2 linked regions of the Macaca fascicularis genome follow. The protein of the gene in region 2 purifies or fractionates together with the protein of the main gene of each other region. This does not show direct contact. Links are inferred from orthologs where the notes say so. Each region holds a gene or a part of one and is shown on either strand. Other genes may lie near its edges.

Region 1 (8,999 bases), on a different chromosome or scaffold from region 2:
TTAGAGACCTCTGGCCTGGGGCTTGTGAGGAGACTTCAGAATTGACCTTGAACTTTGGGTCTATGGAATTCTATACTCCCTTATCTATTTTCCCACAGTGACTACCTCTCATCTCCTTTCTCTCGCCTGCCTGTTCATACACAGAATTGCCCACAGTTGGCCGGGCGCGGTGGCTCAAGCCTGTAATCCCAGCACTTTGGGAGGCCGAGGCGGGCGGATCACAAGGTCAGGAGATCGAGACCACAGTGAAACCCCGTCTCTACTAAAAATACAAAAAATTAGCCGGGCGCGGTGGCGGGTGCCTGTAGTCCCAGCTACTCAGGAGGCTGAGGCAGGAGAATGGCGGGAACCCGGGAGGCGGAGCTTGCAGTGAGCCGAGATCGCGCCACTGCACTCCAGCCTGGGCAACAGCGTGAGACTCCGTCTCAAAAAAAAAAAAAAAAAGAATTGCCCACAGTTGCGGCTTCAGCCCTTAAAAAGTGTTGGAGATCCAGCCAGAGACATGAGGAGAAAGGTAGTAAGTAGATAAGGGTCTTACAAAGTCCAGGCCTACAAAGTTTTCTTTGAAACAGGGGTCAGGCTTAGTTCCCATTCCAGAATTAGAGCCACTACTCCGACCTGGTCTATCTTAAACCTTAAAAAAAGATAGGTTTAGATTTTTTGTAGGAAGCCCTTGGCGCAGCAGGGAATCTACTTTTGAATAAATACTGTGAGTTTAGACAAATGCTTCTCTCTCAGCATCTCATATTCAGTCTATCAAAACAAATAGTTTCTCTTTGCTGAAGGCACCTTGTTTTTTCTTGCCTTTGGAACAATGGTGTTCTTTCTGCCTAGCATACTCTGTCCCTATCTTCATCTGGCTTACTTATGTTCATCCTGTGGTAGTCACTTCTTGAAGGAGGCCTTCCCTAACCATTCTTAGTCACAGTTGACTAAGCTCCTTTCACTGTGTGCTTCCACAAACCTGCTTATAGCCTTTACCATACCACAATGCACTTGGCTGTTTGGTTGACCTTCTCCCACTGAGCTCCCTAAGTAACAGGGACCTTGTCTTATTATTCTGCTTTTAGATTTTTCATACAAAGCTTAGGACTAATGGGTGTTCCCTCATTTATTATATAATTGAACATCTGCTATTACCAGATCCCCATCTAGCTACTGAGTATATAATGGAAAGCAAGGCAACTATGGATCATGGAGCTTTCAGTTCATTGTGAGATTTTGAGTAGATGGATGAAAGGATGAATCAACCCCATGAACTACTGTGTGTCCACTCCTAGGCTAGGTGCTATGTAGGATATAAAGGTAAATGAGAGCACAGTTCCTGCCTATAGAGAATTCATCATCTAGTTGTTTGTGCATGACTGTGATATGAGCTGTGAGTGGAGGAACCTGGACTTCTATGAGACATCCTTTATCATAGTCATAAAGCTGACTCCCAGGATGACACTTGTGACCTGCTGGTGTTACCGGGTCTTGAACAGTCTCATGCTGAGGGGCTGGAGCCTCCCTCTCATGGAATAGCTACAGAATCTGGGCCAAGGACCTCCGGTGATTCCTTTTCCCCTTCGTCTGTCCTATTTTAGAAGTCAGAGGAGCCCAGATTTGCCCACCTGACTTCTCTGCCTCAGCAGCTGCCCTCCCAGCAGCTGATGTCCAAGGATCAGGATGAGCAAGAGGAACTGGATTTTCTGTTTGACGAGGAGATGGAGCAGATGGATGGGCGGAAGAACACCTTCACCGCCTGGTCTGATGAGGAATCGGACTATGAGATTGATGACAGGGATGTCAACAAGATCCTCATTGTCACCCAGACACCACATTACATGCGCCGGCACCCAGGGGGGGACCGCACAGGCAACCACACCTCGCGTGCTAAGATGAGCGCCGAGCTGGCCAAGGTCATTAATGATGGCCTCTTCTACTATGAGCAGGACCTGTGGGCTGAGAAGTTTGAACCTGAGTATTCCCAGATCAAGGTGAGGCTTGGACATAGCAGTGGGTGTGGAGCCTGGGGTGCCTGTAGTGTACAGAGAAGAGGAAGATTGATTAGCTGTGCAACTTGAGGCAGGTCTTTATAATTCAGAGTCTCAGAATTTTTATATATGGGAAGGGGATGATGACTGGTATCTAGCGTGGGCATTAGGAGTGAGGGGTGATGTTTAAACACTGCAAACTCTTCAGGTGAGGCAGGGGTGATTATTATCCTACCTGTGGATCCATAGTTAATATTATGAAAGTTGGCTAGACACTTTTGTGGGGAATAGAATAAAGGGTTAGATTGTTATTTCTAGTCTTAAATATTTAGGCGTCTAAAAATTTAGAAGCCTTTTAAGAAGCTTGTGTTGAGTATGAAAAATGGACAGGTCTTTTGAAAAATTGCTGCTGCCTGGAAACAGTCAAAACATCTTTGTTGTAGGATTTTACAGAGTAGGTATGTTTGGTGGTAGGTTGTCCTAGGATGAGCCCGTGTAACAAGTAGCAGTGCGTTTACTGGAAGTAAGGAGGAAGGAGAGTTGCCCAGCCACTGTGTGATAAGGCAGTAGCAGAAAGAGAGATGGGGAAACACTGGAGCTTTCAAGGGAGAGTCTGTAGTGAGTTCCTGTGGAACTCCTGTAAGCCTGACCTCAGTCTTACTACAGGGAGGGCAGGGCAAGTACTGTCTTTTTCTGGGCTAGCACACTTGTACCAAGGTACCTGGGGTGAGGAATGGTGACTGGGCAGCTGAGAGCCTGGGGACCAGAATTCCATGTATGTCGATGTGGGAGCTGCCCTCTCCAACTTCCTGCCAGTCTTGATTCCTTAAACAGGCTGGAACAGCTTCCTTACTTACATCTTTCTCCACCCATCTCATAACCTCTGCAGCAAGAAGTCGAGAACTTCAAAAAAGTCAATATGATCAGCCGGGAGCAGTTTGACACACTGACCCCTGAGCCCCCTGTGGATCCCAACCAGGAAGTTCCTCCTGGGCCACCTCGGTTCCAGCAAGGTGAGAAGCAGACACCTGAGATCCTGACATGGGTGAGAGGGTCTGGAGCCCTTGGACTAGGGGCTATCCAGGGGTGGATGCTACAGGCCTTTCCTTGCTTCCTGACTCCTCTCTGTGCCACTGCAGTTCCCACAGATGCCCTGGCCAACAAGTTGTTTGGTGCTCCTGAGCCCTCCACCATCGCCCGCTCTCTACCAACCACTGTCCCAGAGTCACCAAACTACCGCAACACCAGGACCCCCCGTACTCCCCGGACACCACAGCTCAAAGACTCAAGCCAGACATCACGGTTTTACCCAGTAGTGAAAGAAGGACGGACACTGGATGCCAAGGTGAGGCATTTCTGTCAGGCTGCTCAGAGTCTTGGGCCTTCTTGATTGCATTCCAGTGCTTTGCTTCTCTCCTTTGCCTTGTCTGAGCCAAGGAAGTGCCAAATCCTTTACCTGCTCTCTGTTCTGAGGCTGGTGGGCTTGCCAACCCTAGGATTAGGTGGCCACATCTGCAAAATATACTGGGTGTGGGAGTGGTGGCCCCATGTAGAAAGGCCTAAGGAGGATTGACCAGGTATGAGTCCTTGGGCAAATCACTTCATTCCCAAACCTTGATTTCTTCACCTGTTTGAAATAGGCATACCAGTTCCTAGCTCACCACTGTGAACATTATAAGAGAATGAATATGAAAATGCTATTGTAAAATGTGAGAGATCATGCCCATCTTAGTCCTACAAGTGCTTGATGCTCCTCAGAGTTGTAGGAGTGCAAATAGTAACAAACCCTGGGCTAACCTTTGCAGATGCCTCGAAAAAGAAAGACAAGACACAGTTCAAACCCACCCTTGGAGAGCCATGTGGGCTGGGTGATGGATTCCCGTGAGCACAGGCCCCGTACTGCTTCCATCAGGTACCTGGGGCAGTGGGGGAAGAGTGATCAGGCTGCCTGTGGGATGGGTGGGCAAGCATGAAATTGACTGGACCAAGAAGATTGGTCTGAAAATTAAAGGGACCCTCATTTAAGAGATTTTCAAAAAAGCAGTGGTGTGGAAAGCTCAGCCTAGGACCTGGGGACGAGGTGGAAAGCTCAGCCCAGGACCTGGGAATGAGGTGGAGGCTTTTTTCCTAAAGAAGTGGTGTGGCAGTCACATGAGACCATATTTTCATACATGCAGAGAGAAAATCTCTCTAAATTGGTTTCCAAGCCTGGATGTCTACTTTCTATCTGAGGAAGGATAGCCAGGTAGTTGAATAAACAGATTTCTGGGAGTCTCTCTGAGCCTGCTGTGTCTTGGGAGGCTACCTGAAAAGTTTTAAAAATTAAAAAAATATATATTTATTGGCCCCAACCTATATCTACTGACCCTGCTTCTTGGGGTAGGACCCATGCTCTTTATTTATTTATTTCAGTAAGATGGCCCCAGTATGTGTTTCCTGTTTCCCAAAGCAAGCTTTGAGAGCCACCTACCTATGCTGTCTACTCCCTGCAAAGATGGCACAGACTGCAAATAGGCATGCTTTTGAAGAAAATAACAATTGATCTTTGAACAACGAAGGGCCTGGGGTGCCCACCCCGCACACAGTTGAAAATCCGTGTATAACTTTTCACTCTCCAAAAGCCTGCTGTTAACCAGAAGCCTTACCAATAACATATAGTGAATTAGCACATGTTTTGCATATTATACGTATTACATACTGTATTCTTACAATAAACTGAAGAAAAAATGTTACTAAGAAAACCACAAGGGAACAACAGACACTGGGGCCTACTTGGGGGTGGGGAGAGGGAGGAGAGTGGGTGCAATTTACCTACGTAACAAACGTACACACATACCTCTGAACCTAAAATAAAAGTTAAAGTCATAGAAAATGTTTACTGTTCAGTAAGTGGAAGTGGAATCATCATAAAGGTCTTCATCCTCGTGGTCTTCACGTTGAGCAGGCTGAGAAGGAGGGGTTGGTCTTGCTGTCTCAAGAGTGGCAAAGGTGGAAGAAATCTGCGTATAAGTGGATCCATGCATTTCAAACCCATGTTGTTCAAGACTTCACTATAGATGGGTTGACCCGTGATGGCTCATTAAGGAAGGTTAAATGCTCAAAAGTTAATAAATGGTTAAAAGCTCAAGTTTTATCATTGGACACGTTTCTGCCATTAAATAGTCTTATGACCCTGGATGAGTCTCCTAATCTCTGTAAGCCTCAGTATCCTCTGTAAAACCCTCTGAGAGTTAATGCAGAGTTAATCAGTCCCATGGATATAAGTTAAAGACCTGTAACTGGGCCTCCTTGTTTGATACTCTGTGAGAGGGTGGATCTTGGCTGACAGAACGAATCAGAGGGACCCCTCCTAACCTTATGGTGGGGCTGCTGTGGGGTACCTGGTGACAGTATTTTTTGTGGTTTCTGTAGCTCCAGCCCCTCAGAAGGGACGCCTACAGTTGGCAGCTATGGCTGTACCCCTCAGTCATTGCCCAAGTTCCAACATCCTTCCCATGAACTGCTCAAGGAAAATGGCTTCACACAACACGTCTACCATAAGTATCGTAGGCGCTGCCTTAATGGTAAGAAGTGAGGGGGGCAGGGGACGATCCTCTGGGCCCCTTATTTAGACCCAGAGTGTAAGGGTTGGGGGATATGGGGATAGGTGACTTTTTTCTCTGACTTCAGAGCAAAAAAAGATGTGACATTATAGCGAGAAGGACTGAAGTTAGACTTGGGCCAGGTAGTTTTAAGCTGTAGGAAGCTAAGGGAATATGGCACTCACAACATTTGTGTTCCTTGATCTTCCTCTATTATTAAAACTGTCGGCCGGGCGCGGTGGCTCAAGCCTGTAATCCCAGCACTTTGGGAGACCGAGACGGGCAGATCACGAGGTCAGGAGATCGAGACCATCCTGGCCAACACAGTGAAACCCCGTCTCTACTAAAAAAATACAAAAAACTAGCCGGGCGAGGTGGCGGGCGCCTGTAGTCCCAGCTACTCGGGAGGCTGAGGCAGGAGAATGGCGGGAACCCGGGAGGCGGAGCTTGCAGTGAGCTGAGACCCGGCCACAGCACTCCAGCCTGGGCGACAGAGCGAGACTCCATCTCAAAAAAAAAAAAACAAACAAAAAAAACTGTCAATTAAGTATTTCTGTATCTCTGACAAGACTACTGACTCAGCCATTGTCAGGTCTAGTCCACTGTCCATCACAAAAGGGTATGTAAGAGGTGGCATATGCTCTCTAGAACAAAGGTTGCCAAATTGTAGTTTGTGAGTCAAATCCAGCCAGTAGTCTGTTTTCATATGGCTTTGGAGCTAAGGACAGTTTTTACATTTTTAAGGGGTTGTAAGAAAAAAAGATTTGTGACAGAGACTATATGTCATCTATAAAGCCTGAAATATTTGTTCTCTGTCCCTTTACAGAAGTAGTTTGCTGATCCCCCCTGCAGATGATAGTGTAAGGAAAGAGCCTGTCTAGATGCTCTTGTCTGTCCCCCCTCTTTTAGCATTCTGATTGGTTTTGTGCATCTTTACAGCCAACCTATCTTGTCACCTGTAGTTACTACTCATTCATCTCCTTTCATTCAACAAAACATGGCTGCTAAATTCTTGATTCATCCACTTCACTTCTCTCTTTCCTACTTTGTGTGTAATAACAGCTTTATTGTGATATAATTTACATATGATGCAACATACCTAAAGTATGCAATGTAATAGCTCTAAGTATATTCATATAGTTGTGTGCCCATCACCAGAATCAATTTTAGAACATTTTCATTACCCCCCAAAATGCTATGTCCCTTACCACTCATACTCATTATACATGCAAACTACTCCCCACCCCCAAAATCCTACCAGTCCTATGAAACTACTAATCTACTTTCTGCCTCTAAGGATTTGCCTATTCTGGACACTTCACATAAATTATACTGTATGTAGTCCTTTGTTACTGGCTTCTTCCCCTTAGTATATTTGGTATACTGACAAATACACAGCAAGGTTCATGTCATAGCATGCAGCAGTACTTTATTCTTTTTATTGCCAAATTGTATTCCATCATATGGATGTATCACATTTTGTGTATCCATTCATCAGTTGTTTGGCATTTGGGTTGTTTCTACTTTTTGTCTGTTGTGAATAATGCTACTGGGCATATTCACATACGGGTTTCCCGTAGACATAGCTTCTCCTTTATTTTGGATGAAAGAGTATTATTTCTGGGTCATGGGGTAACCATGTTTAACCCTTTGACAAAATTAAACACTGTTTTCCAAAGTGGAAATTTTGGAATTTTATATTGAAATATAAATTTTTATATTGAAACATAAAATTTTCATTTTATATTTCTAAAAGCAGTATGTGAGGCTTCTGGTTTTTCACATCCTTCCAACACTTGTTATTGTTTGTCTATTTTTATTTACTTTTATTAATATTTATTTTTGAGACAGGATTTTGCTCTGTCACCCAGGCTGGAATGCAGTGACTCAATTATAGTTCACTGCAGTCTCGAATTACTGGACTCAAGCAATCCTCCTGCCTCAGCCTCCTGAGTAGCTGGGACTACAGGCATGTGCTACCATACCTATCTAATTACTGAAAGTTTTCTGTAGAGACAGCGGTCTCACTATGTTGACCACGGTGGTCTTGAACTCCTGGCCTTACGCAGTCCTCCCTCCTCAGCCTCACAAAGTGCTGGAATTACAGACGTGAGCAACCTTGCCCAGCCAAGATCCTTTTTTAACTGGATTGTTTTCCTAATTATTAAGTTGTAGGAATTCCTTTATCAGATACATAATTTGCAAATATTTTCTCTGATTCTATGGGTTATCTTTTCACTTTTTTGATGCGCAAAAATTTTTCATTTTAATGATACTTATTTTCTGTTTTGTTGCTCGTGCTTTTGGTGTTGTGTATTTTTTGATATTACTGTTATGTACTTGTGAATATTGTAGGACTCTTTAGGTAAATATTGGTAATGAGCCAAATACAGTTAGAATTTCCAGACAATTTGTTCATGCCTTGTCTTGTCTCGATGGCACTTGAAAGCAGTACCAGTTGAGGTGAAGAGCTAGACTGCCAGCCTGGTTCAGAAGCTGCTGCCACCTGCTTCTGGAAAAGTACAGGCCCAGCTCCCAGCATCAGGGCCTGTTGCAGAGTGGTTAGTGCTCAATAAACATCTGCTGAATGACTGAGTGGCAGATGATGAGTGAGGGAATTTGGAGGTACAAGAGAAAGGACCAAGTCTTAAGTTCCAGAATCCTTTGTCCCTGAAGCAAGGACAGCCTGAACCTGAGACATGTCTTTCCTCCTTTCCCATCAGAGCGGAAACGCTTGGGCATTGGCCAGTCTCAGGAGATGAACACACTCTTCCGCTTCTGGTCCTTCTTCCTCCGAGATCACTTCAACAAAAAGATGTATGAGGAGTTCAAGCAGCTGGCTCTGGAGGACGCCAAAGAAGGCTACAGGTGAGCAGGTTTGGGGTGGGGGACTTTGGCTGGTGCTTAGGGATGGTATGGGATCCCTAGTTGGTCTGCTTCCAGAACTGTAGTTGGAAATTCCTTGCATGTGTATTTTCATTCATGTACTTGATGAAAAGTTTGTTTTTAAATGAGCAGTATATTCACATGGTTCAAATTTCAAACAGTTTAAAAGGTTATGTAATGAAGAGTCATCTCATCCCTGTCGCCCACCCATCTGGTGTCTTTACCCACAGGCAACCAGTATTAGAATCTTGTGGGTCCTTTATAAAGGACCCTGTGTAAGTAAGTAGGTATTTGTGTAATCTTCCATGCCACTACCACTCCTTTTGTTTACATAAAAGCTGGCCTATGTTATAATATTTTCTGCACCTTGCATTTGTTTTTGTTTAATACTATATTTTGGAGATCATTCTATATCTGTACATAATTAACTTTTCTTGTTCTTTTTTTATAGGCTGTAACATGGTCTTATACTATATGGATGTACCATGATTTATTTAGTCAGTCTGCTATTAATAGATACTTAGGTTGTTTCCAATATTTTGCTATTAAAAAAATC
Region 2 (9,748 bases):
ATAAACCAGTATTTGGAACCCATGCAAACCTGTAAGTCCATGACAAGACTTAGGTACCAGGTGGATAGTGTAATTTTGTGAAAACGCGGTAGGTGTAAATATTGATGCCATTAAGTGGTACATTAGAACTGCATTTGTGATCGTCACATTTAAGAGTGTGTTTAGGCTTACCAAAATTACCTTAGCTTGGCCCACACTTCAACCCCAAAATTTTAAATTTTGAAACTGTTAGTAAAACCATTTAAAGGTGATAGGATTCAACAAATTTTTGCCAGAAAAGAAAGCTAATCTGTTAGAGATATTAAAATTTTTTAGTTTGGCATCTCGCACATGCAAATAAGTTTCACTTGAAGGTCTAGTTACATTACGAGTTCCCTATCACCCTTAAAAGTTTTTCAAGCAATATATATGTACGTTACCATTCAATTATGCACAGCCAGCCTTTGATCCAGAAAAAAGAATTACTTTAAGCCGCTTACTCCTTATTTTAACCAGCAGTAAACTGTATAAGCAGGAAAAACTTACTAGTTTTGGGTTTCAACAAGCTAGAAATGGTGAGGTGAGGCTGCCGGACTGACGGCCAGGAAGAATTTGCTGAAAAGGTTTTGCCAGATGTTGCGTTGGATTTAGTTGGTTGGCGAAGGGGGTGTTGTGGATTTTTCCTGCTTTTTTGTTAGCCGAAGGCTGCTGCTGTAGTTGTTGTGAAGACATTTGGTAAATAAACAGCTGAGCTGATTGGCCAGGAATGTGTGGGCGGTCGAGGTGGCTGCTGCCGATTTGGTTAAGGTTGGAGAGAAGGCTGAGAGAAAACAGCATGCTCGGGAACCAAAGGGCGGTGCAACCTGACGACTGGCCAGCCTGGGTCATGTGAAACGACACCAGCCAAGCTGAATGGGGCGCGCTGGTCACATGACGCTGAAAGGGCTAGTTGACTGGCTAATGCAGATTCAGAGGGTGGTGAGAAGAGACATGATGGTGACTCTGTAACGGGGTTCATTTTTATTAATAGATGGACCAAAAAGCACAAAAAAAATGAAAAACAAGCCATCAGTACAACCATCTATTAGCTAACAAATACTCTTTATTATGATGGGCAACAGTGTGCTGTTGTTTTTCAAAATAGCAAAAGGGGCAAGATTTTGAACTCCTGTCTCCTAGAAGGACTCCACTCACCTGTAAGAGGTAAATTTAGTCCTATAGAAACTATTTTGGAGGTCTGAGGAGATGTGGAGTTAGCAACCAGACAATACTGCCTGGTCCAAGAATGATGCCATTTTCAATTATAAAAAAACTGAATTTTCTCCTATTTGGGATTGAAGAACAGATGACTGGGATTACGTCTTTTTTAGCCCCCTTTATTGGTCAGTGACTTAAGTTAGTTTCAGAATGATTTCTACTTTACCAGTTGTAACATTAAAACAGCTGCCTGTTTGATAAATATTACAATTGTGCTAGTAGTAGAAAACACAAATTTGTGAAGAGCTAGAGTTGAATGTAATGTTTGTCATTATGGAGCCAAGAAATGGAAAAAGGCCTAAATTGAAGTATAAGGGAAGATTTGGAAAGATGCAACTAGAAAGATGAACTAGAAGACAGATCCAAGATAGAAGTTACTGACTACCAACATGAACAGTGACCTAAAGACAAAAGCCAACACTCAGCACAACTCACATACCCCAAACTACACCCAACAAATGTTTCATAGAAACCTCCGAATCTTCCAAAGTTTAAAACCCACCAACAAACTTTTAAGAGAAATACCTGCTCCTACTAGCTACTCCATTACACCAATACCTCTAAACAAGCTTTCTCTCAAGTACCTGCGACGAGGTGGAGGACTCCTCCTACGATAATCATCTCGAGGGCGACGACCCCAAGAGGGAGGTGGGCCACGATTTCTACTTCTTTTTTCACCATTCGACAGTTCCACTCTTACACGGCAGCCACATAGTGTTCTGAGGAAGCAAAGATATTACACTTAAAACAGCCTAACTTTCTGACTTGTGTATTAAAGCCAAAAGTACTCCCAGTTGGCTATTCTGCAAAGAACACATCTGAATGTCTGTGAAATTTAATACCAAATTTCTAGCTCCCTTATTTTTACTAATATAAAGTGAGCTTTGGCCGGGCATGGTGGTACACGCCTGTAATCCCAACACTTTGTGAGGCTGAGGTAGGCGGATCACTAGGTCAAGAGTTCGACACCATCCTGGCCAACATGGTGAAACCCTGGCTCTACTAAAAATACAAAAAATAGCCAGGTGTGGTGGCACATGCCTGTAATCCCAGCTACTCAGGAGGCTGAGGCAGGAGAATCACTCAAACCCAGTAGGCAGAGGTTGCAGTGAGCCAAGATCACGCCACTGCACTCCAGCCTGGGCAACAGAGCAAGACTCTGTCTTGAAAAACAAAATAAGTTTGTTTCTCAGTTTCAAATTAAAATTTCAATTAATTTCAAATTAAACAATTAAATAGGATTTTCTAAAGTACCAATTCACAAGGAAGCCAACTTCTATTTTATTGCCTAATTGTTAGAGCCAGTCTGACTACTGAGCTCAATATTAATTTGTTAACAGTTGCAATTTAAGTGTGAAGATCCATTTATCCTTGAAAAACAAGTTCTTCTGTATCTTCATTACGACGACTTCTTTTGAGGTCCCAGCACTTATTTCAGTTATTTGTCAGGCTGTATTTATTGGTCTCCCCCCGCCCAACTCCAAGTAAAAAATGGGCTCAAGACAAGACAACCATTTTGGCCATTTTACAGTACCCTCTCCCCTCAATAGTCAGCACAGAACAAATTATAGCTGTGGCCAGGTGAGGTGGCTCACTCCTGTAATACCAGCGCTCAGACAGATTGAGGTAGGAGGATGGCTTGAGCCCAGGAGCTTGAAGTCAGCCTGGGCAACACAGACCGCCATCTGTATTATTTTTTAAATATACATTTTTTAAAAAAAAGAAATTATAGCTCAGAGTAGTAGAAAAGACCATTACTTCTCACCCTTCATACAACCCGTCATTAAATTTAGATAAGCTATCATATTTGGACAGTGACTGGGAAGAGGTGAGCCCTGGAAAACTTTACTACGGCCTGCTTGAATTGACCAACCTTTCATGTAGCTTTACAGTGAACGCTCAGACCCTTTTTTCCATTATATTTCCAAAGATGAGGAAAGCGGGGTGGGGGCATGGAGGTCAATACTCAGGCCTTACTTAGCCAGCTAACAGGACACTATTAACACAAAGGGAGATAGTAACTGATTCACTTTCTGGAATAAGTATTTCAAACACATAAAAGTAAAGATACAACAAACCCGCGTAACCATTTTGTAAACAATTTTTTAAACAAGTATCAGTTCACAACTACTCTTAAAAATATTTGATCCTGGCTGGGCAGAGTGGCTCACACCTGTAATTCCAGCACTTTGGGAGAGCGACCCAGGCAGGCAGACCACCTGAGGTCGGGAGTTCGAGACCTGCCTGGTCAACATGGTGAAACCCTATCTTTGCTAGAAATACAAAAATCAGCCCCGCATAATGGCACATGCCTAGAGTCCCAGTTACTCAGGAGGCTGAGGGAGGAGAATCACCTGAACCCAGGAGGCGGAGGCTGTGGTGAGCCGAGATCGTACCACTGCACTCCAGCCCAGGTGACAGAGCAAGACTCTTCTCAAAAAAAAAAAAAAAAAAATCCCAATTGTATCTAAAGATACAATTGGCCAGTGATTGGGAAAGCCAGATCTAAGAGCCACATATCCTGTACATTTTAAATATGAAAAATACAAGCAATACATTTGTATCAATTTAAATCACCTTCCATCTAGCTCTCGGACCGCATCAGCTGCATCTCGGGGATCTTCAAATTCAACAAAAGCAAAGCCGGGTGGGTTTCTAGCAACCCACACACTTCGGAGTGGTCCATAGTAGCCAAAAGCCCGTTCCAATTCGGTCTTGTTGCCATTGTTTCCAAGATTGCCTACATAAACCTTACAGTCCAATGGACAGGAATCACGATGCATTTCTGTAATGAAAAATACCAAAAATATTCATTTATCTAAACATCTACAGTTAAAACCACAGATCCTTAGAAAGAATTCCATTATGGTGCACAAAAGAGTTTAAGGTAGCATGTAAAGAGAAAAAAAAACTTAATTCCAAAATGCTAGAAACAAACAAGAAATGTTACTGCTAAGCACCTGTTCCCCCATAACTTTTACTCTCCTGACCCTCAGGAAGCCAGCAATTAGTGAAGGAAAAAACAGCTTCCTTGGAACGTGAGAACACTGGAGGAGCATTTACCATCATCTGGGCCGTGAGTTAAAGACTTAACCTGTTATTTTATTTAATCCCCCAAATAAAGCATTTCTAGAAAAGTATAAAAGAGTTCTGTTGGGGACTCAAAACCAAATACAACAATGATGAAGAAAGCTAGTCCTTTAGGTTACACTACCAGAAAAGGGATTCAAAGTGCCTACATAAGCCAAAACGTATCAGCTTTAATAAAAAGCCAACTTTTCATTTAAAAAAAAAAAAAAGCCCATGGACCGGGCTCACGCCTGTAATCCCAGCACTTTTGGGAAGCCGAGGCAGGCGGATCACGAGGTCAGGAGTTCGAGACCAGCCTAGCCAATATGGTGAAACTCCGTCTCAACTAAAAATACAGAAATTAGCCGGGCATGGTGGCAAACACCTTTAGTCCCAGCTACTCGGGAGGCTCAGGCAGAACAATCGCTTGAACCCGGGAAGCGGAGGTGGCAGTGAGCCAGATCGCGCCACTGTACTCCAGTCTGGGCGACAGAGCGAGGTTCCATCGTCAAAAAAATAAATAAATGCATGCCTATTTTGGTCATTTGAAATCATAGGAACAAGGCTGCTATCACATGTCATTAAATAGACCAAAGTCTTATGCAGTAAGAATTTCTCAAGCAACGAGACCAACTTTCCAGTTTTTTTTTTAAACGTAAGCTCATAGCAGCACTTATTCACAGTAGCCAAAAGGTGTTAACCCAAATGTCCATCAACAGAAACGGATAAGCAAAATGTGGTATAGACATAAAATGAGTATTGTTCAGAATGATGTACTGACAAATACTCCAACGTTGGAAAATCTTGAAAACATTACGCTAAAGAAGCCAGACATAAAAATACACGATTCCATAAATACTAAATATCTAAAATAGCTAAGTTCAGAGAGAGAGATTAGTGGTGGCTAGTGACTGGAGGAAGTGGGACAGGGAAACTGGGAGTAAGGGCTCAATGGGTAGGAGTCTCCTGGGGGCGGTGGGGGGTGACGGAAATGTTTTGGAACTACGTGTAAGTGATGATTACACAACACTGATTATACTAAATACCACTTTGGGATAATTTTACTTTAATAAAAAGTTACAAAGAGGTATTTGCTACTCAAAAATTCACTGCACTTTGGGGACTTATTTTTTTGTTTTTCCTTGGCGGACTTACATTTGATTAAGCTTTATTACTTAGTCGTCACTTCGGCGATGAATCTGATAAACTTGTAGACCAGTTTCAATTACATAAAAACCATATACTCAATAATTTAGCTGAAGTGCTTTCCATAAACACCACGTTCTTACTCTGGGCTTGTCTAATTAAAATATCCAGTCCAGACACATCCTACTTGCTGTGACCACACCCTGTGCCCAGGAGTTCTAAGATAAAACCACTGGTGAAAATCTTTAAAAACACTGCTGGCATCTGTCTTAAGCCTACATTTTAATGGGAGGCGGCTGAAAGAACGAATCTTAATAAGTTCAAGGAAGATCGTTCGGTCTTAGAAAAAAGTGATTAGATTCAGGCTGCAAAAACTGAAACTACATGAAAGTAAAAGTGATTACGGGGGCCATTTAACATGAATTAGAAGGTCCAGTCTTGGTTAGTGACTTTACAAAAGCATTCCGAGGAGCTTCCCAATTAAATGATGGGCCCAAAAAAAAGGCGCCATAAACATAAAAAGGCTGCGACCTGGAATACAACTCGGCTATCGGTCCCCTTTGTGGCTCCCAACTCCCGGGTAACCCCCTATCCTGGCTCATCACCCACTGAGGAATATAAACACCTCCACCCCAAGACTAGGAAACCCTCTGATGGGCCGGGAACCCCCGCCACCGCCCCGTGCTGAACGTCACAAAATGGCGGCGGCGCCTCTTTGTCTCAATCTGGCGCCGCCATTGGGCCTGGCTCCTCCTTGGTACGGTTAAACTCCACTTCCACCTCACTCCCTCTTTCGCTGGTCTCTTACCGAGATCTAGGGTTAAGAAATGCAGCGGCTCAAATCCACACGCTCCGATGGGTCTTCCTGCTTTCCTCCGACCCAACACCCACCAAAGCTCTCGCTCACCCGGCGTCCACGAAATGGCGGACCACCGCTTTCTCCTCGCCTTTATTTATACGCCATACTGGAATCACATGATTGGACGGACTCGCCCAATGAGAAGCAGAAGAGGCCGTGACGTAGTGGCTACAAACGCAGCGAGAGCCGCGGTTGCTGGGAGCGCGCTCTGGCGGTTGCGCCGGGTGGGTGGAGAAGTGCGCCGGCGCGCGCGCTCGTTGTAACAGGCCTGGCGCTCCCTCGAGCGTTCTTCCTAGTGTGTCGACCTTCAAGTTACCCACAGACCCCTCTTCCTAACCTCCAAATGGGCTGGGACTTCATAAACAGCACCGTCCCCGTCACGCCCAAACACTAATCGGAGCCGTTGGCTCCTAACAAGATTAAGAGATGAATTAATTAAGTGCTTCATCCTTGTGAGCGGTTAGGCTGGACCTAAGAGCATCGCGTTTACAAACAGGTCACGGAGCTGTTTGTGACCCAGCTGGCACCAGACTGTGGCCGCCTAGATTCCACCCTGAAGGAAAAACCTGGTTTGAAAAGTTTGCCCAACTCTTGCTGGTTTCTCGCCTCTCACGCAAACTTGCAGGACTTGGCGCTGACAGCAAAGGAGACCGGTCAGGTGACCTGGAAACTATCACCTTTAGCAAACACCGGGAAAAGGAAGTTTCTGAAGAAGATTGAATGTAAATTGTGGGCCCCCAAGCGAATGCCGGGAGGGGTATCTCGGGCCTTTCTCCTAGCAGCCCTTGCACTGCCTGGCATGTATTTTGTCCGGACCACTTCCCTTAGGAACACAGAGCCACAAGAATAATTAACTCTAAGGGGAGAGAGACTGTGATAAGCTTAGAAAAATCACCAAGGGCCGGGCGCCGGGCTCACGCCTGTAATCCCAGCACTTTGGGAAGCCGAGGCAGGCGGATCACTTGAGGTCAAGAGTTCAAAACTAGCCTGGCCAACATGGTCATTAGTTCAAAACCAGCCTGGCCAACATGGTGAAATCCCGTCTCTACTAAAAATACAAATATTGGTCGGGCGTGGTGGCGGGCGCCTGTAATCCCAGCTACTTGGGAGGAGAGCAGAAGAATCACTTGAACCCAGGAGGTGGAGGTTGCTGTGAGCTGAGATCCTCCCACAGCACTCCAGCCTGGGCCACAGAGCGAGACTTCGTGTCAAAAAAAAGGAAGAAAATAAAAATCACCAAGATTTCCTGAACAGTTCAGCTAGTCTCCTGCCCCCAAATATACCCCCACCCTAAACCCCTTTCAGTCTAGTCTGACGTATTGCTAAATTTACTTGTTATATCTGCTCTAAAAAAAAAAAAAAAAAAATGAGAAAAAGGCTGGGTGTGACGGTTCACGCCTGTAATCCCAGCACTTTGGGAGGCCAAGGCGGGCCCATCACCTGAGGTCAGGAGTTCAAGACCAGCCTGGCCAATATGGTGAAACCCCATCTCTACTAAAAACACAAAAATTAGTCCGGCGCGGTGGCACACACCTGTAATCCCAGCTACCGGGGAGGCTGAGAGAGGAGAATTGTTTGAACCCGAGAGGCAGAGGTTGCAGTGAGTTGAGATCATTCCATTGCACTCCAGCCTGGGTGACAGAGCGAGACTCCGTCTCAAAAAAAAAAAAGAGAGAGAAAGAACCTGTGTTTTTATTTATTCCCTCTTAGCTGAAAGATATGCCAATTATTACGTTTTTCCGTTTTTTGTTTTTTTAGAGATAGAGTCTTGCTCTGTAGCCTAGGCTGGAGTGCAATGGCGTGACTTCCGCTCACTGCAACCTCCGCTTCCCGGGTTCAAGCAATTCTCCTGCCTCAGCTTCCTGAGTAGCTGGGATTACAGGCATCTGTAAACACACCCGGCTAATTTTTGTATTTTTAGTAGAGACGGAGTTTCACCATGCTGGTCAGTCTGGTCTCGAACTCCCCACCTCAAGCAATCTGCCCGCCTCGGCCTCCCAAAGTGCTGGGATTACAGGCCTCAGCCACAACACCTGGCCAGCCAATTATTATGTTTTAACTTTCCCAGGTATTTTTCTTTTGAAGCCTTACCTCTTATTGTGGTTCTAAAGGTTTATCTGTAGCGAAGGAAAAATACAGATTTATTACATCTCAGCCTAGTTTCCTCACCTGTAAAAGGGGGGTAGGGGTTCCTAGCAAACCTTTTCTTATTTCTCTCTCATCTAGATTTTTTTTTCTGGCTCATTTATATTTGCCTTGATTTGTTCCCCTCCTCTATGTAAGCTTTTCTCCTCTTTTTCATTTTCTTTCCTTCTATCAAATCAAAGGCTCTGGAGTCAGGCAGTCCTGGATTTGGCCCCAGCCCCCACTGCTAGTTACTAGCTGAAGCGTCCTGAGAAGAATGTTTAACTTCTGTATTTCCTCTGTATAAAATAACCCCAGTCTTGCAGGGTTACAGCTGTTAGGTTTTGTCACTTTGGCCAATTGTGGTCACACCTGCATCCCCAGGGCTTGGAAACGACACAGCAGTCAAGCAATACATAGTTGTTTATTTTTATTTATTTATTTATTTTTGAGACTCTTGGGTCTGGCTATGTCACCCAGGCTGGAGTGCAGTGGTTCGTTCTTGCCTCACGGCAACCTTCACCTCCCAGGCTCAAGCAGTTCTCCTGCCTCAGCCTCCCCAACAACTAGGACCACAGGCGCAAGCACAAACGCCCAGCTAATTTTTGTATTTTTTGTAGAGACAGGATTTCACCATGTTGCTCAGGCTGATCTGAAACTCCTTAGCTCAAAACCATCCACCATCCTCTACCTCCCAAAGTGCTGGGATTACAGCCGTGAGCCACAGCACCTGGGCTTTTTTTTTTTTTTCCTTTCTTTCTTTCATTTACTTATTTATTTATTTTGAGACAGGGTCTTACTCTCTTACTCAGGCAGGAGGGCATTGGAGCAAACTTCACGCACCACAACCTGGACCTCGTGGGCTGGACCTCATAGGTTAAAATTAGCCACCGTGCCTGGCTAATTTTTTGACTTTTTATAGAGGAGTCTCACTTTGTTGCCTAGGTTGGTCTCGAACTCCTGGCCTCAAACGATTCTACTGCCTTGGGAGAGTTGTTTGAGTTGAGACCAATCCAACTCCTGAGATTGGTCTCTAATTCCTGACCTCAAACAAGTCTCCGGAAGTGCTGGGATTACAGGCATGAGCCACCGCGCTGGGCTGTTAAATTATTTAATTAAGAGAAATGATGTATGTAAATCGTCTGGCACAATCACTGCTTTTCAAACTGCTGGCCGGCTGGGTGCAGTGGCTCACACCTGTAATCGCAGCACTTTGGGAGGCCTAGGCTGGTGGACCACTTTAGACCAAGAGTTTGAGATCAGCCTAGGCAACATGGGGAGAACCTGTCTTTACTAAAAATACAAAAAATTAAC

What was found.
Region 1: the proteins of SRSF3 (region 2) and LARP1 purify together in Homo sapiens (co-immunoprecipitation; 3 studies listed by BioGRID and IntAct, with this or other methods). This does not show direct contact. The link is inferred for Macaca fascicularis from reciprocal best matches to the Homo sapiens genes SRSF3 and LARP1.

The regions. Positions count from the first base shown.
Region 1 is NC_088380.1:161,589,927-161,598,925, forward strand, and holds part of LARP1 (la-related protein 1), read left to right. Parts: intron 1-1,586; coding exon 1,587-1,979; intron 1,980-2,865; coding exon 2,866-2,989; intron 2,990-3,115; coding exon 3,116-3,321; intron 3,322-3,781; coding exon 3,782-3,888; intron 3,889-5,387; coding exon 5,388-5,539; intron 5,540-8,280; coding exon 8,281-8,425; intron 8,426-8,999. UniProt on the Homo sapiens protein: RNA-binding protein that regulates the translation of specific target mRNA species downstream of the mTORC1 complex, in function of growth signals and nutrient availability.
Region 2 is NC_088378.1:135,074,456-135,084,203, forward strand, and holds the start of SRSF3 (serine/arginine-rich splicing factor 3), read right to left. Parts: upstream 6,378-9,748; 5' UTR 6,260-6,377; intron 4,022-6,259; 5' UTR 4,020-4,021; coding exon 3,814-4,019; intron 1,956-3,813; coding exon 1,821-1,955; intron 982-1,820; exon of another isoform or gene 526-981; intron 1-525. UniProt on the Homo sapiens protein: Splicing factor, which binds the consensus motif 5'-C[ACU][AU]C[ACU][AC]C-3' within pre-mRNA and promotes specific exons inclusion during alternative splicing.